Callithrix jacchus: one gene and its partners. The protein of the gene in region 1 interacts with the protein of each later gene in a biochemical or structural test. Links are inferred from orthologs where the notes say so. Each region holds a gene or a part of one and is shown in the gene's direction. Other genes may lie near its edges.

Region 1 (5,016 bases):
GACCTAGAACAAGTAAACTCAGTGAATATTGATAGAATTCTTCACCCAGGTCCACAGAACATACATTTTTCTCAGTATCACATTATACCTATTTTGAAAGTGACAACATAATTGGAAGTAAATCACTCTTCTGCATTTGCATAGCATTTCACAGATTTAAATGAAATACTGGTTGGCTGTTTGTTATTTTCTTCCCTTTTTCCTTCCCGTCTCCACTGTTAAGCACAATTATCGGCATAAAAGAGGTTTTTAATACCTATTTTTAGATTGCATTCCAGCCTGGGCAATAGAGCAAGACTACTGTTCTCTCTCCCCCTTTCTCTTTCTCTTTGTTTCTTTCTAATTAAAAAGAAAAAAAAAAGATTAACATTGTATTTATGAAATGATATGACAACTTTTGTGGAAGATTACGATTCTTGATGGATTTCTTAGCTGAGACCCCTCAACTTTGCCCTGAAATAGCATCAGCACCCTGTTTTTAGATCCAACTATCACTTCCAGATATCGCCAATAATCAAATTAAGAACAGGATTACTTCTAGGTATGATTAAAGCCATGGTTAATTACTTTAGATGCTACTCAACCAGTCATAGCAGCTACTACAGAGTTATTTATTACACTCTCCAAAATACTTTTCAGTTCCTTTCGTGGGGGGGAAGGAAGGAAGCTAACTTATTTGTATTCACATTCTGACTAGCTAGAACTGTGTGTAACACAAAGTAGATGATTCTTTTATTTGTGCTGAAGACTTTTCTCCTCTAAGGTTATGTAAAGTTGAGGATATTTTATCCTAGAGCAGATTGGTTCTGTTTTATTCATAGTTGATGCACAGGTCACATTTTGTTGTTTTGTTTTATGTTTAGATTGCTTTCACAACAAAAATTTACCATCCAAACATAAACAGTAATGGAAGTATTTGTCTCGATATTCTGAGGTCACAATGGTCACCAGCTCTGACTGTATCAAAAGGTAATTTCATTGATCAGATTTAAAACAGTTGATAACAGTGAAACAGTAAAAATACAGCAGAATTACCTATGGAGTAAAGTTTTAAGAAAACAATCAACTGTGCTTTCTTCTGTTTTGATTTTGTTTTGCTCTCTTTGCTCTTACTTACTCTGGCTTTTGGCAGTTAGCTTTGGTTGCAGGGAGTGTGGATGGAGAAATCTAAATGATGAAATGAGAAAAAACTTAAAATAATAGAGCTAGAAATTTGGGAATAAAACCTATTCACATTTTAATACTTTTAGCTTGGATGTTGTCTTTTAAAAAAGAGAGACTACCCAGGCGCTGTGACTCATGGCTGTTATTCTAACACTTTGGAAGACTGAGGTAGGAGAAGTGCTTGAGCCCAAGAGGTCGAGACCAGCCTGGGCAACATAGCAAGACTGTGTCTCTACAAAAAAAAGAGAGAGATAATAAGAGATAGTAAAAGGAAGATTTTGGGACTAGCTGTCCCATTTATTAAATGGAAGTGTTGACAATAATAAAGCTTTACAGCTGTTTTACTTCATTGACAAAAAAAAATACCAGATTTGATTGATAAATGATTCAAAATGCTAGACATTTCACACTGTAGGATAATGCAGTACATACAGCATGTTAGTCTAAACTTTGAATAATCAGTAGCATCATTATAGTGACTGACACATGATCTGTGGTGATTCTCAACTTTATTGGATGTATACATAGGCCATCTGAAGCCATTTTATTTTATTAGCCAATACTACTTACTGTACTAGCACTCTTAATTTATGTCTTATTTCTCTAAAAGAAGAGAACCTAAAAATTGGAAAATATTATTTAGGTTAGAAGCAGCTGCACTGAAGTAACCATCAAGTTTTCTGTTTTTATAAAATTGAAGAAAATGTTTCTCTTGAAGGGATTTATGAAAGCAATCTGTTCTCATTTTTTATTTTTAATAATTGCTGCTTGAATATACAACATGTTTTTAAAAGTAATAAGGTTTATAGGAAGCAGAGTCCACAGCCATAGCTTTTTCAAGTATTAGATAAATAATAGCTCTTTCAGTTCAATTATTTATGAATGGTAGTTTTTCTGACCTAAGATGCTCATCTGCAATATTCATATAGATTCTCATATTCTTTTAAGAATCTTTCACACAGTGTTTCTGTCATGCATTAGATATATGAAAGATTCTGTGTTGAAGAGTAATTCAAGTTCATATGCTCTTTCCTGGAATGATGTCACAAAATGAATCTCATTTGGCATAAACAGCTAAGTCCTTATACATAGAAAAGAAATGGCAGACTGCCGGATGCTGAGTACTTATCTTCTGACATTGGTAGCTTTTTATAAAAAATCAGTAGTGTTAGATTCCAGAAACCATCCTTTGAGAAATGAACCAGCCTCAGCTTCCTTATAAGTAAAATGGGGAGTATTATAGTATTACCATATAGGGTTGCTATGTTCCTAGCACATAATGGGCACTTACATGAATGTTAACTGTTACCCTTTTCCTTACCTTAAAGGATAGACATGGTTTGTGTGCATGATAGTAAAATTCAGGCAAATGGCTCCTGGCAGTAGGAGTGGGCAGAGGAAGAACTTCCTTCTTGCTTATTTTTTATAAGATAGATTGTACCTTGCTCATTTTTTTACTTTTCTATATTTATTTTTTTAATTTTTAATTTTTTTATCTTAAATTTTTTCTTTGAATTAAATATAGACAGAGTCTTGCTGTGTTGACCAGGCTGGTCTCAAACTCCTGGCCTCAAGTGATCCTCCTGCCTTGGTCTCCCAAAGTGCTGGGATCATAGATGTGAGTCACCTTGCCCAGCTTATTTTTTAAATTTTTTTTATTTTTGAGATGGGGTTGCTGTGTTGCCCAGGATGATCTTGAACTCCTAAGGTCAACGATTCTTCTGCCTCAGCCTCCCAAGTAGCTGGCATTATAGGTGTATGCCACCATGCCTGGAGCTTTTCCATATTTTAAATGACTTCTTTTGCTTTTTATCATGAGGTTAGTCTGAAAGCATTCTGGGGCTGTAAGTCAGCCTGGAAAATCTACCCTGTTGGTTTAATATACAAGGCTTGAAGTTTCATTGGGCAGATAGAAGATAAGAAAGATGCATAAAATACTAATTTTTTCTTTAGTTCATAATACCCCCCATTTGCCTGTCATATAAGTCAGCTCTGCTCTATAAATCCACCTTTGGATTTGAAAGAGTAGGAAAATAGAAAGGAAACACAATGAGGTTGGGGCAAGTGGATATGGGAGGTTGGTCCAGACGTTCCCTGAAACTCCTCAGAAGTGGTGGCATGCAATTGAAGCAGACAAATGAGGAACCACAGTCCTTGTTCCCTCTTATTTCAGATACTTAGATCTTAGATTGTCTTTTTTTTTTTTTTTTTTTTTTTTAGCGTAGCTATTTGCATTAGGATTTTGACATACTGGAGTAACAACTACTTTTTCAATTTTCATTTCTATTTTAAAATATGCAAGTTATATGAAGGTAGCTGTTCACATTATTTTTAAATGCATACAACATGAATAAAGTACATGAAGTAAAGATTCACTGAAAAAATTTTTACAAATTTTTCTTCTTTGTAGACAGACTATAGCTCTAAGCCAAAGTAAAAGAGTGTCTGAGCACAGTATCCAAATGGTATATGGACTGTTAAGTGTAATTTGATTGTTCTGTAGAGAACTCTCAAGTTTAAAGGTTGTTAATAGCTACTTTGGAGGGTCACTTTTTTAAGTAAATAGAAACTCAAATAGAATTTAAAACTTCAAAAGCTAAAGTAATTTCATATTTTACCCATCTTAGGGTAATTTTATAACTTTAAAAATTAAAGATCATTTGCTATCAACCAAAATAGAATAAAATATAATTTCATATGTTCATTTCTTTTGTTTTTCTAATAAATTTAGTATCTGTATTCACTAAAATCATTTTCACATGTGTAATTATATGAACTAGATTATTGTCTAATATGATGTTCTTTTTTAAATCTAGTTTTATTGTCCATATGTTCTCTACTTTGTGATCCTAATCCAGATGACCCCTTAGTACCAGATATTGCACAAATCTATAAATCAGACAAAGAAAAGTAAGTGTTAACTTATCTTAGTTTCTGTATGGATACATTCCTATATAGTATGCTAAAACATGAATATTGTCAATGTATTTTAAGTACAGCTTGTTGTGCATATATTGTTTTATCTTTTTCCAGTGGAGTAAACCCTTCTTTTAGAACTCAGTTTGTCCTTTTACAATAAATCCTGTTTCTTCCCACTTCCTGTTCAATAGTATATAGTCTGTATTTGAAAAATAAATATATATATATATATTCTAGGTGGTAAATTAAAAATGAAATAATTTAATCATTGGAAAGTATTAAATACTGTATTGCCTATCTTCTCCCAGGAAGATGAGTTCTCTCTATGCCCATCCTAATTCTATGCCCACTGACCTAATTCTCAAGCTGCTTCAGCTTGCCTGTACTGTAGGTTTATTTGCAATTTGTAGATAATGCTTCTTCAGGGTTGGCTTTGTACATTTCTATTAAAAGTTGGTTTCTGCATTTTCTTTTTCATATACTTGGATACATTTTCATACAGATTGCAGAGAAATCCATTAGTTGAAAAATTGTCCTTCCCGTTTTATTTCTGCATGAACCTAAGTCCCATTGACCCAATAATTGATGTATGTGTGATTATTGCAATTAAGTATAAAAGGAATATATAGTTTTATATAGACAGATGCTTCTAAAATATTAATTTTGTATGTTTTTATTATATTCTTTTTGTATATCTACAGATACAACAGACATGCAAGAGAATGGACTCAGAAATATGCAATGTAAAATCAAAAACATTTTCATATATACCAGAGTACTGTAAAATCTAGATTTTTTTCAACATTAGCAGTAAATTGAGCACTGTTTACTGTTTCATTGTACCATGAAACCATTTGATTTTTACCCATTTTAAATGTGTTTCTGAAGCAAGACAAAACAAACTTCCAAAAATACCCATAAGACTGTGATGAG
Region 2 (5,197 bases), on another chromosome or scaffold:
TACACATTATTTGAAATGTGTCCCAATACCGGAAATGCTTTAAAGAAAAGTCTTGATGTATTTTTTTTATCTTTTTAGTTTTCTAGTGAAAAAGCTTTCAAGCTTTCTTCGTGAGCTTCACTCATCAGCATACACTAGGTTAGACTTGGGGTAGTTACAAAGTATGTGTAATGACAAAGTACTGAGCATATACTGTTCAGTGATTTTCACTGAGATATGAAGCTGTGGAGGTTGGTTTCAAAAACTGGCCCATGCAGATGGATTGTTTTTAATACGCACTTGTATACTGATGAGATACTTACGAATCACACCTGAACATTGTTGTTTTCCTATAAAAAAGGGTAAATGATTCTAAAAGAATATATGAATTGGATCATTCTTGATACCCAGAGTTCCTATTAAAAACATAGGCTGGAAATTTTAAGAGTTCTCAAAGTTGTTTCAGTTTACGTCTAAGTTGCCTTTAAATCAGCTAACTTCAGTGCCCAGATTGTGGTCTCCAGATATATCATTTCTTCTAAAAGGAGCTTAAGAGTTCCTGGGAAAAAGGCTGATTACATGACAGGACGCAGGAGGTGAGACTGGGGCATGTTGTTCCATCAAAGAGCAGAGGAATACCAGTGACCCTGAGGCTTAGGAGCCTCCTAAAGCCCTCCTCAGGGCCCCAGGTGGAGCAGTATGAGACCAGGACTACAGTGTAATGAAACTCTATGAGTTCAACACGATCTTCAAAAAACACACAAATCAGAGACAAATTATCAGATCACAGTATTTGGGCCTTATTGGGCTCCTGATAAAAGCAAACTAGTTAAATAGAATTTCTAACATGAGACAATTGGAGACTTGAACACTGACTAGATATTTGTGATGTTAAGGAACTGCTCTTCATTTATTTTAGCTGTGATAATGTTTTTAAAAATAGTCTCCTAATGATACACTAAAATAATCATATCTTAGACTTGCTTCCAAGTGGTGTATAGGTGAAACGAGACGTTGGCTCTAGGTGACAGTTGTTGGTACACAGAGTTTATATACCATTCAGCTGTCTGTATATTTGTTTAATTTTCTTTATTAACATGTTAAAGAACTAATTTAAGTTTGGACCTGTAGAGATTATAAAAATGATTTAAAAATCGACGAGTTTTTTCCCCTTATTATAGGAAAAGGCACTAAATTTTAAATGTGTGTTTTTCCTTTTAGGGTATTATAGGTCTCTCTATTTGTTGATTAACAGCAAGCTTCCATCAAGTATTGAATATTCTGATTTATCTCGGGTTCCTATAGCAAAAATTTTACTAGAGAATGTTCTAAAACCATTGCACTTTACTTACAACTCCTGTCCGGAAGGTGCGAGGTGAGGCTGGAATGGATTTATTGATTTTGTCATTTCTCAAGATCTATATCTGACAGTAACTTTAACATAGGATGTGATTTTAAATATAGACTTGAAAGTCAGATTTTTACTTTATTAGTGTTGATGTAGTTAATAGAAGAGTGTACTTTTTCTTTCTGGCCTGTAGCCTAATACAGATTTGAGATTCTGGTGATGTTATTTTCCTACTTTTTAGTAACTGTCGAAAGTTAACGAAAACATGGCAGTTATCTTAATAGAGCAGACATTACATTTATTTAGGTTGATTGAGTTGATATTAAATGATTAATTTGGCCAATTTAGAAGAGTAGATTATCTTTTTGAAGGATATTTTGAAAGGTTATTTTAATCAGTGATTGGATGGACAGTATGTTTTGACATTATAAAAAGCTTCTATTTTTCTTTTTCAGGCAACAAGTTTTTACAGCCTTCACAGAGGAGTTTCTGGCAGCACCTTTTACAGATCAGATTTTTCATTTCATCATTCCGGCGTTAGCAGATGCACAGACCGTTTTCCCTTACGAGCCCTTTCTGAATGCACTGTTGTTAATAGAGGGTAGATGTTCAAAAAAGAGTGGTGGAGCACCCTGGCTTTTCTATTTTGTTTTAACTGTTGGCGAAAATTATTTGGGTATGAAATACAAGACTTTTTTACCTGAACATGTATATGGGTAGCATTAGCAGATGAGTCAAGAGAAGGCCGTGAAGTGGCAGGTGTCATGGAAAGGTGGGCCTCTCTTGGAAGAGTGTATTTGCTGAAGGGCTGTGGTCTGGGCAGTGTTGCTGGGGAGAGTTTCCAGATACAATGGGAAAGACTGACTTATATACATGTCTTATAAGGCCGCACAGATTATTTTAATAGAGTGAACGGAATTAAATGGGAAAGCTCTTCTGTGAGTCAGGCCTGTTTCCCTACTTTTCGTAAACTTAGAGTGTGCCTATTCTAGAATGATAACATCTTCCTGACGTATTGTTGAAAACATACATACATGCACACATGAATTATTAATGAAAGAAATACAGGAAAAAACAAACTTTTTCTTGTTCTCACACTCAACATTGAAAAATTCTGTGACCAGAAATGAGGGTGTGTTTTTTTTCCCACACACCAAGCGGTTTTGCGGTGGACACCACCTAGGTATTATACAATTAAGTTCAATTCTGATGCTGTCCAGCTGGAAATGATGTCAGATCCCATAATCTGAAGGCTTAGTCCTGCAAGACTACACCCACTTCACAGGCCAATTACAAGTAGTAGGTTGTCACCTATACTTCTGGCCAACCTGCCAAAATGGGGATTCCTACAACCCTGCCTTGGGTTTGGTAATTTACTAGGACAACTCCCAGAACTCGGGGAAGCCAAGGTAGGCGGGTTTGCAGTGCTCCCATGCCTTCTCTCGGCACTCCACGCCCTCAGCACCTCCGTGTCTTCAGCTCACTGTGTCCTCCTGTTGAGTTTTGTGGTGCTGCATCTCCAGTGTCCCTCCAGCAGCCCCTTGGAGGTTGGTGGGTGGGGCCGAAAGTTCCAGCCCTCTGATCACTTGGTTTCTCTGGTGAAAAGCCCCATCCCAAGGCCCCTAAATGGTCACCTCGGTGCATAAACTCAGGTGTGATCACAGAGGGCTAGCTTTGAATAACAAGACTCTTCTCTTTCGGGAAATGCCAAGAGTTGTAGGTGCTTTCTGACATGAATGGGGACTAAATCTAAATATGTTTCCTATTATAACACAGAATTTTAAAATAAGATCTGGTCAGAAATGCCTCTTTGAGTATTAGGGAAAATGGCATCTTAGTTTTCCATTTTTAAAAATAACATTTAACTAAAATACATTTTAACTGATTGTTTTACAAAGGGGCCCTCTCTGAGGAAGGGCTGCTGGTGTATTTGCGGGTGCTGCAGACCTCCCTCTCTCAGTTACCAGTCTCTCCTGCCAGCGCCAGCTGTCACGACTCAGCCAGTGACTCGGAGGAGGAGGGTGAAGAGGCCGACAAGCCCTCGAGCCCGGTGAGCCCGAGATACTGGCAGCCCTGCCTGTTCCTCTATCTTTCTGTCCACCCCTCCTTTCAGTTACACAGTCAGAACCTCAAGCAGCCTCCACAGAGAAGCCCCTTCAGCCCCCTCTACCAGTTTCCCTGATTAGAAACAGTTTCTTCCACCGCTTTCTTAGTACGCTTATGGAAGTGTAAGTGGAGGCACATAGTTTCGTGTTTGTTTTTTTAGGCAAAATAGGATTATACTGTATGTTATCTTAGTTATTAGGATATATTTTCTAGCAATGAAATTGTTGGGTCAAAAGTTCCTTTTTACCCAATCCTGTGAATACCAAGTAATGTCTTCCATTAATTTCTGCTGATTTTATGGAGGATATGTGTTAGGATTTATTTTAAAATTACTTTCAAGTTCTTACCTCTTTTATTCCTTACTGATGAGTTTACAGTAAATTTTCAAGGAGTAAAAAACTTTAAAATTATATATACATGCATACTTAATTTGTGTTTTACTTAATATACCTGCCAGTGGCTTTTCTTTGGTCTTAAACACTTGAAATGGCTTGAGATATGGCTAACGTAAGTCATGATTTTTGATTAAGGAGTTGTATATTGATCGCTAAGTGTAATCACAGAATATACTATAGAGGGTCTCCAGGCTTCCAGGTCTGTTTTTGCAGTATTGTGAAGTGGGTGTGTCAGTGCATTGCTGCAGCTTCCTAGACAAAGCTTCACTAGCATCAAATAAAAGAGATCACAGCAGTAAGAAGATTGAGAAGTAAGCACAGGGCTTTATTTAAAAAATAAAAATAAGAGAAGATGAAGAAAGGAACAGATTATACTGCCAGGGCTTATGGCTGAGAGGCGGACTGATTACCAAGGGTGGAGTCGTTTTTGTAGTGGATAGTGGGTGCTGGAACTGTTGGGTCTGTTCAAACTGTACACCAAGAAGTCTTCATTTTTGTGTGTGGTTATAAAAAAGAGTGGGTTCTGTAATGGAATGTAGATAAAATTTTTGGTTTTAGAAGGAAGTTTTAAAATAGTTACCTTCCATAGAATCTGTGAAATAAAACCTGTATTTATACACAGCGTATTTTGTATTCATGTGAAGATGGGGCTGTGGGCTTTTTCAGCGAGAGAGAGGACAGAGCTTTTCCTAGCTGTGGGTGTGCAAACACGAGGACAGAGCTTTTCCTCGCTGTGGGTGTGCAAACACGACGAAAGCGGAGCACAAGGACCCATGAACCAGGAAGGAGGCTGCAGGCTCTCTTGCTTCTGCTTACACTTTGAACATTTAAGAAGTGGGATCAGTTGCTTGATTTTTAAAATTCTTTATAACCGTAAAAAATATTACTACACTTTAATTCTTTTTTAATACATAAGAGTTTCAAGGTCTGCATATTATATAACTTCATAAATTTGTACTTTATACTTCAGTTTCCTTTTTTCATTTATTCTCTTCATTCTTCCTTTGCCTTGGGTAGTGTCACATTTGGGCTGAGAACTACAGACCCAGTTTTGAACCAGGCACTTGTAGGTTTCACTCCAAGTCATTCTCTCCTTGCCAGGTCTCTTACGTGTATGTTTCTGTGTTGCCTTTTCTTTCCCACAGCACTCAATCATACAGAACCTAATGTGATTGTATGAGATTTTTCCAGGGTCAAAGTTCACCGTTGATAAGCTCTTTTGCCTTTATGTTTCTGTATAATCTGTTCACTTATAACCCATGTATAATTTATTTTAAAATTGTACACCGCAGCTGGGCACGGTGGCTCATGCCTGTAATCCCAGCACTTTGGGAGGCTAAGGCGGGTGGATCATGAGGTCAGGAGATTG
Region 3 (4,058 bases), on another chromosome or scaffold:
GTTTAAAAGGGGGGTTATTCCATAAAGCGGGGAAGAACAAAGCAAAAACAGCGGTGGCGGTTTTTTATAAAAGCAACTGGCCATAGCATCTTAAAAAAATGACCTGGCCCTGCCCTTATTTGGTGCCTTCCTGTCTTGGTGGAGCAGGGGAATCCAAGTGTGGTAAGTCAGACAGTTCCCCTGCCACTCTCTGCTCCAGGGGTATAAGGCTGACATCTAGTTTCACCTGAAAAGGTGATTCAGGTTCCTTAATTCTTTACAGAACAACAGCTTAGTGTCAGGGCAGGTGTCTACTTGTGAGCTGATTCTCCATCTGGTATCTAGGAATTAACAACTTCATCTTGTGAGAGTCAGGAGAAGTCCAATTCCTGTTGGTGTGGTCTTTTGCCACATCCATTAGGAATGTCATCCCAAGTGCAAGGGAGAAAAAAGTTTTGTTCTCCTACCTTATTAAGGCAGTGTCTGAGGGGCAGACTGATCATATCAGCAAACTCATCTAATTCTGCTTCCTCCCGGGCCTGTCGTGAGGACCTGACATACCTGGCCATGAAGCATGTGCACTTGAACTTGAGGAAGTGGTGGGGGTCAGCAAGCTTTGAGAGGAAGGTTAGGCCCTTCTCATTTTAACCTCCTCTGGCCAGAACCAGACTAACTGGCAGTCTTCGTAGTTAAGTAGCTCTTAGATGTGATTTCCTTCCACCCAGAAAATACGGGCAAAGACCTCCCAGAGGGAAGGTCAAAAGGTTACAGTGGGGTAATATTTCTATAAGTATGAAGGGGTCTCCAGGCCTTCGCTACCCTAGCCTGCAGTAAAGAGCAAGAACCGAAGGGCAGCCTTCCCCATGGCCAGGCTGCCAGCCCCCAGTTTGAGCCAGGAAACAGTGGAGAGGGACAACAGAATTATAGTTTTCACTGTCGTCTTTGTGCAAAAACTAATTTGGAGATAATATAATATTCCTTGCCCAACCCCATCCCCAGCCCCAAGCAATTGAATTCTTTAAAAAACAGCTTCACAGAAAATATGGGGAAGGCCAGATTTTACAGGACTTGCTCAACAATTTTGAGATGCGCGACGTAAAAGAATTTAGTTCTTGTCCTTTTGACAGTAGAACAGGGTCATGGAAAACAGCCTACTTCTGGTTCAGGAAATACCTTTGATTTTATGCATGACAACACTAATGATGAAGAGAGACTGAGACCTTTAATCTTGAATATTTCACTTGTTTTGAGCAAAAGTAGTTAGGAACACAGTTTAAGCCCAGGAAAACAGAGTAGTTAAGTACTTATAGAGGGTTGCACCAACAGAAGTTTTGAGAAGGCCCCATGGCTCAATGCATTTCTTTTTCCGCAGTATGCCACCACGGGCTGTTCCCTAACCCTGCACCATACAGAGAAGCCAGAACACGAAGACATCTGTGAATACCGTCCCTACTCCTGCCCTTGTCCTGGCGCTTCCTGCAAGTGGCAGGGGTCCCTGGAAGCTGTGATGTCCCATCTCATGCACGCCCACAAGAGCATTACCACCCTTCAGGGAGAAGACATCGTCTTTCTAGCTACAGACATTAACTTGCCAGGGGCTGTCGACTGGGTGATGATGCAGTCATGTTTCGGCCATCATTTCATGCTGGTGCTGGAGAAACAAGAGAAGTACGAAGGCCACCAGCAGTTTTTTGCCATCGTCTTGCTCATTGGCACCCGCAAGCAAGCCGAGAACTTTGCCTACAGACTGGAGTTGAACGGGAACCGGCGGAGACTGACCTGGGAGGCCACACCCCGGTCCATTCACGATGGTGTGGCTGCGGCCATCATGAACAGTGACTGCCTGGTTTTCGACACAGCCATAGCACATCTTTTTGCAGATAATGGGAACCTTGGAATCAACGTGACTATTTCTACTTGTTGTCCATGATGTGGCTTTCGTAACCCATCCAAATTATGTGAGCATAGTGCTCTATGTTTAATAAAGGTTTTTATAAAGGTTTTATTCCATATGTCTTCACAAGTCAGGACCAACAGTTACCTGTGTTTTGTTTGAACAGCAGTTTCCCATCTGGCATTGACCCCACAAAGTTCATTAACCTGGGATGAATGGGGTTGGCCTGTTGGTGATTTAGAGGCTGTTCTGTGATCTAAAACAACTCTCTTATTAAATTTTATGTACATCCTAAACAACATTTGACAGGCTGTTGCACAGGGCTTCTGTAGATCAGTGTGTTAGGAATGGGAGGCCCCTTCCTGCCTGCCTTCCCATATTGGTCCCTTGTCATTGACAAAAGCACAGTGACTGTCAGCAGATTCCTTTACTTTTGTTTGTGGGAGGTAGGAATTGTTTTAATGCATTTTAAACAGTATTTCTCAAACTGGATGGCTAATAGACATCGAATCACCCGGAGTGCTTATCTTAAAATTGCAGATTTAGGGAGCCTGCCAATTTAACAGTCTCATCTGGTGATTCTTTTCAACAGCAATGTTTGAAAATTACTGGGCTAAATTGTGGGAAAGGGTCCAGATTTTAAAGGTGCTTTAAGATTGCCCTCTGCCGATACTGTTTGTCTTTCTACTGTTTCATTCCCTAACCTCCCCTGACCCTCAAATTAAAACTAGAACTACAGATCCACATGAACACACGCCTGAGATCTGGTCACTCACTTGTGTTTTGGGTGGATTGCCTAGAAAGCAAGTCATATGGCCATTAGTTCTCATGTAATTAGTTTTGCTCACCACTAGAACAGGGGACTCGTTTACACATGGCTTCCCTCAGAAGCCCTACTTGATAGTAGCTGGTGTGAAAGACTAGATCAGTAGATTGGAAAAGCTTTATAACCGGTGTGTCATATGCTTGCTATTTAAAGGTGTGTGTTGGTTTTGTTTTTCTGCCACATTCACTAGTTTTTTAATAAATATTTTCCAAAAATGGATGTTGTGCTTTATTTCCCTAATTGAATAATGGGTATTTATTGAGCATCAATTGTGTGCAAGTGCAATGAACCTTTACCACTGCATCTGGGGTTGGAACTTTCACTGTTTTCACTGAGGAAACAGTCATTGGGCCAAGGTCATGACATGGGTCCATGACAGCACTGGGGTCCAGGCTCACACATCTGAACCACTGACTGTCGGTGGTACAGGTCTCCTCCCAGGGCTGTCATTTCTGTCTGACAGTGTTAGCAGCTGCGCAAGAAGAGGATTGCTCCTGCTTTACCGAGTGAGAAGGAAGACACTTGGCCAGTGCTGACATCCAGAGTGCTGGGGTTGATCCAAGGTGACCCACTCCCTCAGTCCCAACCATATACTCCCAAAAGAATTCAGAGATTAGTGCCAAATGCTTAGTGAGGATTGATGACTGCTTACCTCAGCGTCCCAATTTCTTTTCTTTTCTTCTCTCTTTTTTTTTTTTTAAAGACAGAGATTGGAGTGCAATGGTGTGATCTCAGCTTACTGTAACCTTGCCTCTGGATTCAAATGATTTTCCTGCCTCAGCCTCCCAAGTAACTGGGACTACAGGCCCATGCCACCACACCCAGCTAATTTTTGTATTTGTAGTAGAGATGAGGTTTTACCATACTGGCCAGACTGGTCTCAAACTCCTGACCTCAAGTGATCCACCTGCCTCAGCCTCCCAAAGTGCTGGGATTAAGGCGTGAGCCACCACGCCCAGCCTCAGTGTCCCAATTTCATTAGCATACTACCAAGTGGAGGTGATGGCTTTGGAGTTGATTTTGTTTTTTAAGTGAAATACAGTGTTGAGTTTTTAGCCGGCATAGGGTTCTGGCATTTCAGGAATTGCTAAAGTAACCTCTTCTAGGATGTTCTTCAAATAAAAGTGAAAAACGGTTGCCTGCACAAAAGTAGGAGTTTACAACTTTTGTGGTGAATGAATGAAAACCGTAACTCTTATCACTAAGAAAGTCATATTTCGGCCCGGCGCGGTGGCTCACGCCTATAATCCCAGCAGTTTGGGAGGCCAAGGCGGGTGGATCACGAGGTCAAGAGATCGAGACCATCCTGGTCAACAAGGTGAAACCCCATCTCTACTAAAAATCCAAAAAAAATTTGCT
Region 4 (5,197 bases), on another chromosome or scaffold:
CCTTAGTATCATTTTAAGGTTTACACAAGTGAGGTGGAATCTTCTCTCTCTCTCTCAGAAACAAAACCCATACGTTAAGGTGCTTGGTACACAGCTTTTGCTTTTCCCGGGGATGGGCCTGTAGGGAAAGGTGTGGGCCTGGCCCCTGCTGAGGAACGGTGGTCTTTGTTGCAGAGTGCGATGCAGAAGGCTGCATTCGAGGCGCTCCAGGTGAAGAAGGACCTGATGCATCGGCAGATTAGGAGCCAGGTGAGCTCTGGGGCTGTGGCCCCGGACCTGCCCTCTCAGAGACTTGTGGGGCATCCCTCCAGGGCAGCAAGTCGCAGCAGTTGAGGTTTGAACCCCAGCATGTTGGCTTGCTAGCCCAGCAAGAGGTCGAGGCCTCGCCCTTGGCACCTCCCTTTGTTCCCAGCCTTGTGTTGGGGATCCTAGGTGGGTGCCTGGAGGCCTCCTATTCTGGGGTTGGGTGAGGATCGTACCAGCAAGCGTGGCTGTGACTGCTGGGGCCGCCTCCTGTCCATGCTCCAGGCAGGACACTGTGAAAAGCAGCCTGTGCAGGCCCCTGCGCTACTGCAGCTTAGACCAACAGAGACCCATATGTCTCTGGGGCATATGGGATTTCCCCTGGAAGTGGGCAGGTGGGGCCATGAGCCATGGTGGTCCTGACTCCTGCTGAAAAGTGACCTCGGCCCAAGAGGAGGAGGTCCTCTTTATGGGCCCTCCCTCACATGACAAGATCCCCCCCAGGTGGCTGCTGACCTTCGAGGTGTCCTTGGGCGAGCGCACCTGTGTGGCCTGGTGGCCACTGCCTGTGGAGTGGGGCTGGGGCTGAAGTGAGCTTAAGGCTATGGGAACGCTCCTACATCATGTTCGGCACACTGAATTTTACATTTTTTGCATGTTTTTTTTCTTTCTTTCCCTATTTTTCTTTCTTTCGTTCTTTCTTTTTGGACCAATTTACCTTTTCAGTTTCCCTCTTTAATTTCAATTCCACATTGCCAGACATGAAGCTCATTCCTCTGACCGGGGGTTGGTGATATCATAGGGACTTAGAGACGAGGGGCACAGGGTCATAGGAACAGGATAGGGAAGTACTGGCTGTGGGGCCTGACGCCCCCCAGGGCTGAAATCCACCAGACACACCCTGGAGAGTGTTCGAGGCCCCCGACATTCTCACTGCAGATGGTTTTGACCAGGTCAGCTGTTCCTCTCCAAACCCTGAGCTGGGGTATCCCAGAGAATGGGATCTCTCACTTACCTGCTCTGTGTCCTTGGACAAGTGACTTAACCTCTCTGAGCCTCGGTTTTCTTGTCTGTAAAATAGAGGCAGTAATACCTCCTAACAGCCAGAGAATTGATGAAATATTACACATAAAGTACACAGCACATAAAGCCTAGCACGTAGTAGGTGCTCAAGACATACCATCTACTACTACCATTGTTACTCAGTCACTTACTTCCACCACCCTCTGCTCTCCCCTGCAGCAGTGATGAGGGGCACAAGAGACCCTGACCAGCAGGAGGCTGGGTGATAGTTCTGTGTCTGTGCTTTACTCTGGCCTGAATCTCCAAGCAAAGCCTCTTCTCCATTGCACAAGTCTTTATTCTGTGCCCGCTCTGGGACAGATCCTGTGCTGGGCTCTAGGTAAACAATGTTGGCCGTGACAAGCCTGTCCATGACCCCGGGAACTCAGGGCCATGAAGGAATGAATTCTTGTTCAAGCCCCTTGATGAGGTTCCCAGGCTTAGAGGGTCCCTATTCCAGAGCCTCCCTAGCCTCCCCAGAAAGGCTTCATAGACCCCACTTGGTCATCAGAGAGTAGCAGCAGGAAACTGAACCGTGGTTAATGTGAGTAAAAAACTCCTGTCTCGTCTTCTGTTTAGATTAAGTTAATAGAAACTGAGTTATTGCAGCTGACACAGCTGGAGTTAAAGAGGAAGTCCCTGGACACAGAGACACTACAGGTATGTAGGGCTCCCTGCCCCTGCCTCCCTCACATGCTGAGACCCCCACCTCATGCCCCTCCCAGCCCCTGGCAGCTGCTTGTCAGCCCCTGGGAGTCAAGGGCTTCCCCAGCAGACAGAGGGCAGAGTTTTTCTGTGGCTGTGATACCAGAGGACACCCCCCAGCTCCAGAAGACCCAGCGCAGGCTGAAGTTAGAGGCAGTCAGCCTGTTGTGAGGCAGGAGGGTCAGAGGAAGGAGGGTTTCATTGCCAAGGCTCTCCCGCTCCATCTCCATCACTGTTTCCTGTGCTGGGTGTGGGCCCTCGCTGAGCTCTGTCTCTCTCTGTAGGCCATGCTTCAGGCCCCTGGGCAGACATCCTCCAGGGCTGGAGCTTTTGGGTGTCCCCGGGATCTCTGGAGGAGAGGGCCCAGCCATGTCTCTGTTGCTTAGCCTGGCAGTCCTGCTCACACAGACAAGAGGGTGGCAGGGACTGGCAGCTGATGTCCTGGACTGGACACCTGGGAGCCGGGTGTGGCTCGGCACAGCCCTGCTGCACAACCTTGGCAGGTGGGGGAGGAGGGGCAGCCCTTTGCCCTCTCTGGACCTTAGCCCCTCCAGCTGCAGATAGAGGGCTGGATGGGGTGGTGTGTGAGGACATGTGCCCATGCCAGGCATTTGAGCAGAACCTTCTGTCTGTCACTGTCCCTGTGTCCTCATTAGAGAAGTCTCAAGTCATCCCATGGACTCCTCAGTGCAGTGAGAGGTAAGAGGTCTGGATACCTGGTCTCAGGTGTACCACAAGTGCATTGTGTACTCTTAGGCAGGCCTCTGCCCCTCTGGGCCTTCTTCCCCTACTCCGTAAAATGGCAGCTGTCCTCCAGGTCCAGCCTGTGCCATCTGGCCATCGGAGAAGACTAAGTTAGCAAGGGAATGCCCTTTGTGAGCTTTGAAATGATCTCCAGAGATGAGGGGACTGGAGCTGCTCTCAGAGAAGCTGTGGCCATCATGCCTGGCAGGTACCCTAGACCCTGCCCACAAGAGCAGCAGGGCTACACCTGTCAGGGCCCCATGGGGTTTCCAAGAGCAGGCACGGGAGTGGAACAAGGACCCCAGGCTCTGATTTGCACACCCCTCCATTTGTGTGAGGCCCCTTACCCCGTTCCCACCATTTGCTTCTGCCCATGTGCTCTGTTGTCTGGGAGGCCAAAGGCAGGTACCTGTGGCTTGCTGTTTCTTTTGTTTGATGTTTCTTACCATTCCATTGTCATCAATCACCAGGATCCCATGCCTGACTTCACCCCACAAGGACGAGAGATGCAGGCTTAGGGGAAGAGGGGCAGAAGGGCCTCTTAGCTTTGTCCCCCAGCTCAGCCTGGAGGCGTTAGGCAGAGAACCGAGTGAGCGGGAGGCCAAGCCCTTCTCCATCCTGCCACTGCAGGACTCCTGAGGTGCCGCCAGTTCATGGTGGTTTGGGGTGTGGTCTTGTGTTGCAGGAGATGGTCTCGGAGCAGCGCTGGGCCCTCAGCAACCTGCTCCAGCAGCTGCTCAAAGAGAAGCAGCAGCGAGAGGAAGAGCTCCGGGAAATTCTGGTATGTGTTGGCTTCTGTGCTCAGCATCACACATGCGTTTGCTTTTCTCTAACAGACTGGCCATTTTTAGAAACACCTGTTATTCAAGTAAGAGTTGTTCATCAAAGAAAAACTGGAAAGTGCAAAGGAAAATAATTGCAGTTCCAAGAGTTATCTCCTGCTGTTTTTTGTTGGTTTGCTTGTTTGAGACAGGGTCTCACTCTGTTGCCCAGGCTGGAGTGCAATGGCGCAATCTCGGCTCACTGCACTCTTGACTTCCTGGGCTCAAGCGATCCTCCCACCTCAGCATCCCGAGTAATTTTTTTATTTTTCATAGAGATGGGGTTTCGCCATGTTGCCCAGGCTGGTCTCGAACTCCTGGGCTCAAGCGATCTATCTGCCTTGGCCTCCGAAAGTGCTGTGGTTACAGGCATGAGCCACCGTGCCCAGCCTGTCCTGCTGTTTTGATGCATGTTTTCCAAACATTGTGATGCATCTTTATAGCTGTTTGTGTATCTGCCTTTTAAATAGGACATGGTGCGTACTCTACAACCAGCCTGTTTCCGTACATTCTTTTCAAGCCGTTAAACCCTTCCTTGACATCCTTTCTCGAGGCTGTGCTTGGCCCCTATTGTTATGTGGATTACTTCTAGGTTTTAAACTTACAGGCGACGCTCTCTGAATTCCTTTGTAGTTGAGTATTTGGGAACAGCCATGAGTATTCACTCCAGGACAGGACTTGCTATGTCCAGGACAGGCTGTTTGATAAGCTTTTGGTAGGAATGGCCCAGCTGTCTCCTGTCCCCTAATAAGTTTGATGCTGGCACACTTTCAGAGTGGCAGCGGCCCCCTTGAGAGTGTCTTCTCTAGACCCAGGGGGCACCCAGCAACAAGACCAGAGGCCAGGCCCACCATCTGGGGTGGAAAAGATCGAGTTATTCCTGAGTCACCGTGAATGAACCAGACGTCCTCTGAGCTGCCTCCTAGACCTGGCCCTGTGCAGGTTTTTTTTTTCTTTTCTCAAGACAAAGGTTTGCTTTTTGTTGTCCAGCCTGGAGTGCAATGGCGTGATCTTGGCTCACTGCAACCTCCGCCCCCTGGGTTCAGGCAATTCTCCTCCCTCAGCCTCCCGAGTAGACAGGATCACAGGCATGCAATACCATGCCCAGCTAATTTTTGCATTTTTTTTAGTAGAGACAGGATTTCACCATGTTGGTCAGGCTGGTCTTGAACTCCTGACCTCAGGTGATTCACCCACCCTGGCCTCCCAAAGTACTGGGATTATAGGCTTGAGCCACCGCACCTGGCCCCTGTATAGGTTTAGAAGAGAAAGACCAGCTTCTTCTGGAGTCCTGAACAAGCCAAGTGGTGCCTGTGCCCATCAGAGAAAGCTGTCTATTCCTCACAGTGCCCTGCTGCCATCTCCTATGCATCAGGTTACTGGGCAGATGGTGCCCTGGTGCTGTGCTGTGGCAACCAGGTGCTGTGGCTGGTGCTCCTGCCCTCGTAGGCCTTGGGGGTCACCACCAAGGGAGGAAGCACCACCCCAGCAAGACACAGCCAGTCCGCTCCTGGGTGCCAGAAGAGAGGGCCTGCAGCCCGGGAGGGCCAGCGATAGAACTGAGCAGTGGGTGTGGCCAAGGCCACAGCGGGGAGCCCCCAAAGGGCAGTCAGGCCCAGCAG
Region 5 (5,197 bases), on another chromosome or scaffold:
ACCCCTCTGCCCAGCCTTGTGGATGGCTTCCTTATGGAACACCATCAGGCTGATGAAGGAAGGAGGCACTCAGGGAAATGGGAAGAAATGGTGTACAGCTCAGGCTCCACTGGCCAACAACAGGCTTTTTCCATGGCCACCAGCAGCAGGCGGTCTCCCCTCTGTCCCACGCGGTCTCGGCACTATGTGGAGCTACAGGCTCATCCTTCTTGTTGCTTGCATTTTAGGAAGATGATGAGAAGCTTATTGAGGAAATCCAGAAGGAAGCTGAAGAAGAACAGAAAAGAAAGAATGGAGGCAAGTGCCCTTCCCCAGGCTCCCAGGACAGAGCAGCAGCCATACCTGGCTTGCCATCAAGGAGCCTGCATGACCTGGGGTCCTTTGCTCCCTTGGCAGTGCTGAGCTGCAGGGCTTGAGCCACCACACCTGGCTGTTTTGTTTTTTTTTTTTAAAGAGTATAGCTGGGTGCAGTGGCTTATGCCTGTAATCACAGCACTTTGGGAGGCCAAGGCGGGTGAATCACGAGGGCAGGAGTTCGAGACTAGCCTGGCCAATATGGTGAAACCCTGTCTGTACTAAAAATACAAAAATTAGCTGGGCATGGTGGTGCGTGCCTGTAGTCCCAGCTACTCGGGAGGCTGAGGCAGGAGAATTGCTTGAACCCAGGAGGCGGAGGTTGCAGTGAGCCGAGATTGTGCCATTGCACTCCAGTCTGGGTAACAACAGCGAAACTCTGTCTCAAAAAAAAAGTACAAAAATTAGCCAGGCATGGTGGTACACGCCTATACTCCCAGCTACTCGGGAGACTGAGGCAAGAGAATCACTTGAACCCGGGATGGGGAGGTGACAGTGAGCCAAGATAGCACCACTGCAGTCCATCCTGGGCAACAGAGTGAGACTCTTGTCTCAAAAACAAAACAAAACAAAAAGAATGTAACTGAGTCACAGAGGTAGCCCCTCAAGGCCCTGGCTCTTGAAGGATGCCTTACTGGGCTGGGCTGGGTGGGTGGACATGCCACCTCCCACGGTGCCACTGTAGAGCAAGACACTGAGGGAAAATTCAGATTTGTCCTTGATTTCTAATAGTGTTGTTGGGGAGGTGTCCATGTTTTGTGCTTTAATCAGCCTGTGGAGCCCCTCCTGTGTCCAGAGGTCACTAGCCTAGTCCCAAGCTAGATTCAGATTCCAGCGAGGTATGTTTAATCTGTTTTTTCCACTAAACCGCACCTCCCTTTCAGAGAACACCTTCAAACGAATCGGACCTCCACTGGAGAAGCCCATGGAGAAGGTACAGAGGGTGGAGGTCCTCCCGAGGCCTGTCCCACAGAACCTGCCGCAGCCACAGATGCCACCCTATGCCTTTGTGCACCCACCCTTCCCCCTGCCGCCCGTGCGGCCCGTGTTCAACAATTTCCCACTCAACATGGGACCCATCCCAGCCCCATACGTGCCCCCGCTGCCCAATGTGCGGGTCAACTATGACTTTGGTCCCGTCCACATGCCCCTGGAACACAACCTGCCCATGCACTTTGGCCCCCAGCCACGGCATCGCTTCTAATGGCCCGGAACCCCCACTGAGCAGCACAGAGCCCATTTGGGGTGGGGGTGTGGGATGGAGAACACTCCCCTCCCCCAAGGCTGGTGGCTGTGCCATTGCTTCCTAAGTCAGGTTGAAGGGTAGGCTGGTTTTCTTCCCACCTTTCCTAGAAGGGCCACTGCTCCTGGAAGAGTGACCACAGCTGGTGGCCCTCTGGGGGGGCCTGCATGGGATAGGTCTGGCTCCCACTCGGCAGAGTCAAAAGGGCCTCGAAGCCCTTCTTTGAAGAGTTCTGCCGGTGGCCCTGGCTGCTGTGTCACTCCAGTCCCTGCAGAAAGAGACCAAGAGGAAATATTTTGCCTCCATTCACTTTTTCCCCTAGCAAACACCAGGGAAAAAACCTCTCAGAATTAAAACCACATGAGCCTTCCTTATATAGCACAGACAGATCCATAATAAAGATGAAAATGGTGGAGTTCATAGAGAACTGTGATGTGAACTGCCCCTCCTTTCCCCCGAGGCCACCAGGGGCGGCCCTTCTGCCTTATCCCTTTATCCATGGTATAGGCCAGGGCAGGCTGCAGTGCCCCTGCTGCTCACACCTGGGCCTCTCCTTGGAGCCAACCCCTGGGGAGTAAGGCAGCTCCAAGGAGCCATTTCCCTGGAGGTCCTCATAGGGGCTCCAGGTTGGGCAGAAGGAGCTGTGCCCACGGGCCTGGGAAGCATTGCTCAGGGTGGGGGCTGGCACCATGGCCTACAGAGGCACTGCCACAGCCATAAGGGCCAAGATGCTTCCCCCTATCCAGAGCCCATGCGCCACTACAGTGAGCATTGAGGGTACCTCTCCTCTCTCTTCATATAGCCTACTCAGATCAGGCAGCAACAAACCCATCTTGTGCCATGGGTTTTGTTCTATTGCTATCTAAGTTTCTCTTCCTCAGTCTCTGGAAAGTCAGGCTGAGAAATCCTTACCCAAGCTAGTCCATTGCAGCATGCTGGATGGTTCTGAAGCTGGCGCATCAAAAGATCCTCTTGGGGTAGCTGGGACAGAGACCTGGTGGTCCTGCCAGGCAGCCCAACTGCTGGGGAAGACATTTCTGCCACCCTGGGTGATGAGCAGCTTTTCCCCTATGGTTTTCTGGGGGAGGAGTGGGCCTTTTTAGGGGGACAGGTGACCCTGGGTGCCACCCCTGCCTGGCATGAGCCCCTGTGTGTTCTCAAGTGCTTAGTGAAGGCAGGTAGACGGTGCTGTCTGGTACCCCCCATATGAGGGCCACTTCCCTTCTCATGCAGTCAGCTGAGCATCAGCTCAGCCCTGCCATGTCCCTACTCATTCTTGCCTCCTGTCCAGCCCCGGGTTTCTAGCTGTGCCTGAGGCATCAGTCTGGCCCATTGGCAGATAAGAGACCTGAAGCTTTCCTGGCCACAGGTGTCACTATCTCCTTCTCTTCTTGGTCTACCATATTCTTGTGTTGCCATGGGGTTCCGAGAGGTTTGGAGTTCACAGACCTCAGACAGGGCTGACCCCGACAGCCATTAGGGTGGGGCTGCTTCAGCCTCTGGAGCAGCCCTCCATCGTCCTACAGCAGGGCTGCCACACCCAAGGTCTGGAGGGCATCATCATTCACTGTCATTGGCTTCTCAGATGTATTTCAAGTACTAAAGTGGATTTAAAAAGATCTAAGATGGCCAGGCTTGGTGGCTCATGCCTGTAATCCCAGCACTTTGGGAGGCCGAGGAGGGCGGATCACCTGAGATAGGGAGTTTGAGACCAGCCTGACCAAACATGGTGAAACCCTGTCTCTACTAAAAATACAAAAGTAGCCGGGCGTGGTAGCGCATGCCTATAATCCCAGCTACTTAGGAGTCTGGGGCAGGAGAATCCCTTGAACCCAGAAGGTGGAGGTTGCAGTGAGCTGAGATCTCGCCATTGCACTCCAGCCTGGGTGACGAGAGCGAAACTCTGTTTCAAAGAAGATCTAAGATACTCATTCTTTCTGCCTTTTCCCAAGATGGAGGCTTTGAAGACAGCTGATCACCTGGGCATGGGGTAAGCGTGCGCTGGGATGCCAGACTTGGGGGGCAGCCTAATGCTATGTCCTTGCCGGCTCCCCTACCTGTTGGGCTACCCCAACTTTGCTACTAGCCTGAATGACAGTGCCTTGGAAAGGCGGGCTCCACAAAGCTGCAGCAGGATTGTCTTCAGTATCTTAAACGTGCTCCCTGTGCTTGCCCCTGGGAGGGTCTCTGGGAGCAGAGGGAGGCTGCAGACATCCTAGCTGAAGCGTAGGTGACCTCAGGCCCCAGGAGCTTCAGCTCCTTCTGTCCTGCACACCAGGCATGTGGCCCCAGCAAGTGGCCCAGGCAGGACAAAGGGAGCAGGCAGCAGCTGCAGGAACAGCCCCAGACAGGTGCTGGCCCCAACCCTGGCAGGGAACAGGGAGCCCAGAGTGATGTTTCTCCTAAGGCCAAATCCCAGGGCATCTCTTTTTAGAAGAGCTCCAGCTGTTTCTGGTCACACTGTGCTGGTATTGAAGGAGTTGCTGCCTTTTTCCTTGTAGGGCCCTGATTCCTGAGGATTCTCCCCAAGCCAGGCACAGGGGGTTGCAGGGCTGCCATGAGCACCCACCTTAGACCTCAGGCTCCTGCCTGCACCAATGATAGGGCCGGGGAGAGAAGCACTGGGGGACTTCTGATCAGCCAGCAAGGTCCATTCCAGTGCCCAGAGGTCAGACCACAGGCAACCCTGAGGCAGCTGGGGCACCTCCTCTCTGCCCTGCAGGGCTTGCCCCAGGGCGCAAGGCTCCCCAGCCAAAGCCCCTTCTTACTTGCCTTAAAACTGGAGAGAGGAATCTAGTATTTGCACTTAGCAAAATATTTAAAAACTGAAAAAATTGTGCATGATCTGTCACTTTGTATAAAAATAGAAAAATGATTAAGTAGTTAAACCTTTTTCTTTACCTTCTGGCAGTAAAAATAGATAAAATAATTTGTTCATACTACTGTGTGTAAAAAGCCTGTATCATATGTAACTGGGACTTTTTGTAAATAAATGTTTGTGCACTCTGCTCCCTCTGGCTTCATGTCTCCCCACTGCTGCCTGGCAAGTTACAAGGGCAGCTGGCAGATTAGTCCAAGTGATCAATCTAAACCAGCATCCGTACCTCCCCAACTGTGTCTCGGCAGGAGCAGGCCCGGAAGGCACACCAATGTGTAGTAAGAGCCCCTGCCCCTCCCCTGCCAGGGAGGAAGATCAGGTGATCTGCTAGGCAGATCGCGCTAGGGCAGCTACCAAGGCCCAGATTGGACACAAAGGGTCTATTTGTTTGTTTTGGGCACAGAATCCCCTTCAAAAAAGGTGTGGTCAATTTCTCTTGCCGGCCCCTTCCCCAGTCTCTGTCCATCTAAAGGTCAGATAAACCAGGAGAAGCCTCACCCAGCTGAGGAGTGGACAAGGTTCCAAGGACAGGAAATGCCTAGGCTGAGAGGCCGTGGCATTTGAGTCCCTGCCCTGCATGATGGGAGGCTGCAGTGCCAGGGCCCTACTACCCTCACTGGTTGTACAGCGTCTTCCCCTCTGGAGTCCTTCCTGCCATGTACCAGGCCAGGTAGGAATCTGAACCCTAGATCTGAAGGGATCCCTGAGCACAGGGGAAGCTG

Evidence for each region.
Region 2: the proteins of UBE2D1 (region 1) and UBE3C form a complex in vitro, tested with the Homo sapiens proteins (8 studies listed by BioGRID). The link is inferred for Callithrix jacchus from reciprocal best matches to the Homo sapiens genes UBE2D1 and UBE3C.
Region 3: the proteins of UBE2D1 (region 1) and SIAH2 form a complex in vitro, tested with the Homo sapiens proteins (3 studies listed by BioGRID). The link is inferred for Callithrix jacchus from reciprocal best matches to the Homo sapiens genes UBE2D1 and SIAH2.
Region 4: the proteins of UBE2D1 (region 1) and LRSAM1 form a complex in vitro, tested with the Homo sapiens proteins (2 studies listed by BioGRID, with this or other methods). The link is inferred for Callithrix jacchus from reciprocal best matches to the Homo sapiens genes UBE2D1 and LRSAM1.
Region 5: the proteins of UBE2D1 (region 1) and E3 ubiquitin-protein ligase RNF216 form a complex in vitro, tested with the Homo sapiens proteins (2 studies listed by BioGRID). The link is inferred for Callithrix jacchus from reciprocal best matches to the Homo sapiens genes UBE2D1 and RNF216.

Annotation. Positions count from the first base shown.
Region 1 is NC_133513.1:72,138,533-72,143,548, reverse strand, and holds part of UBE2D1 (ubiquitin-conjugating enzyme E2 D1), read left to right. Parts: intron 1-863; coding exon 864-969; intron 970-3,980; coding exon 3,981-4,074; intron 4,075-4,784; coding exon 4,785-4,830; 3' UTR 4,831-5,016.
Region 2 is NC_133512.1:91,063,101-91,068,297, reverse strand, and holds part of UBE3C (ubiquitin-protein ligase E3C), read left to right. Parts: intron 1-1,200; coding exon 1,201-1,354; intron 1,355-1,782; coding exon 1,783-2,003; intron 2,004-3,225; coding exon 3,226-3,377; intron 3,378-5,197. UniProt on the Homo sapiens protein: E3 ubiquitin-protein ligase that specifically catalyzes 'Lys-29'- and 'Lys-48'-linked polyubiquitin chains.
Region 3 is NC_133518.1:34,521,426-34,525,483, forward strand, and holds the end of SIAH2 (E3 ubiquitin-protein ligase SIAH2), read left to right. Parts: intron 1-1,351; coding exon 1,352-1,909; 3' UTR 1,910-2,914; downstream 2,915-4,058. UniProt on the Homo sapiens protein: E3 ubiquitin-protein ligase that mediates ubiquitination and subsequent proteasomal degradation of target proteins.
Region 4 is NC_133502.1:176,111,206-176,116,402, forward strand, and holds part of LRSAM1 (E3 ubiquitin-protein ligase LRSAM1), read left to right. Parts: intron 1-174; coding exon 175-249; intron 250-1,884; coding exon 1,885-1,965; intron 1,966-3,439; coding exon 3,440-3,535; intron 3,536-5,197.
Region 5 is NC_133503.1:16,898,239-16,903,435, forward strand, and holds the end of E3 ubiquitin-protein ligase RNF216, read left to right. Parts: intron 1-227; coding exon 228-297; intron 298-1,238; coding exon 1,239-1,558; 3' UTR 1,559-4,605; downstream 4,606-5,197.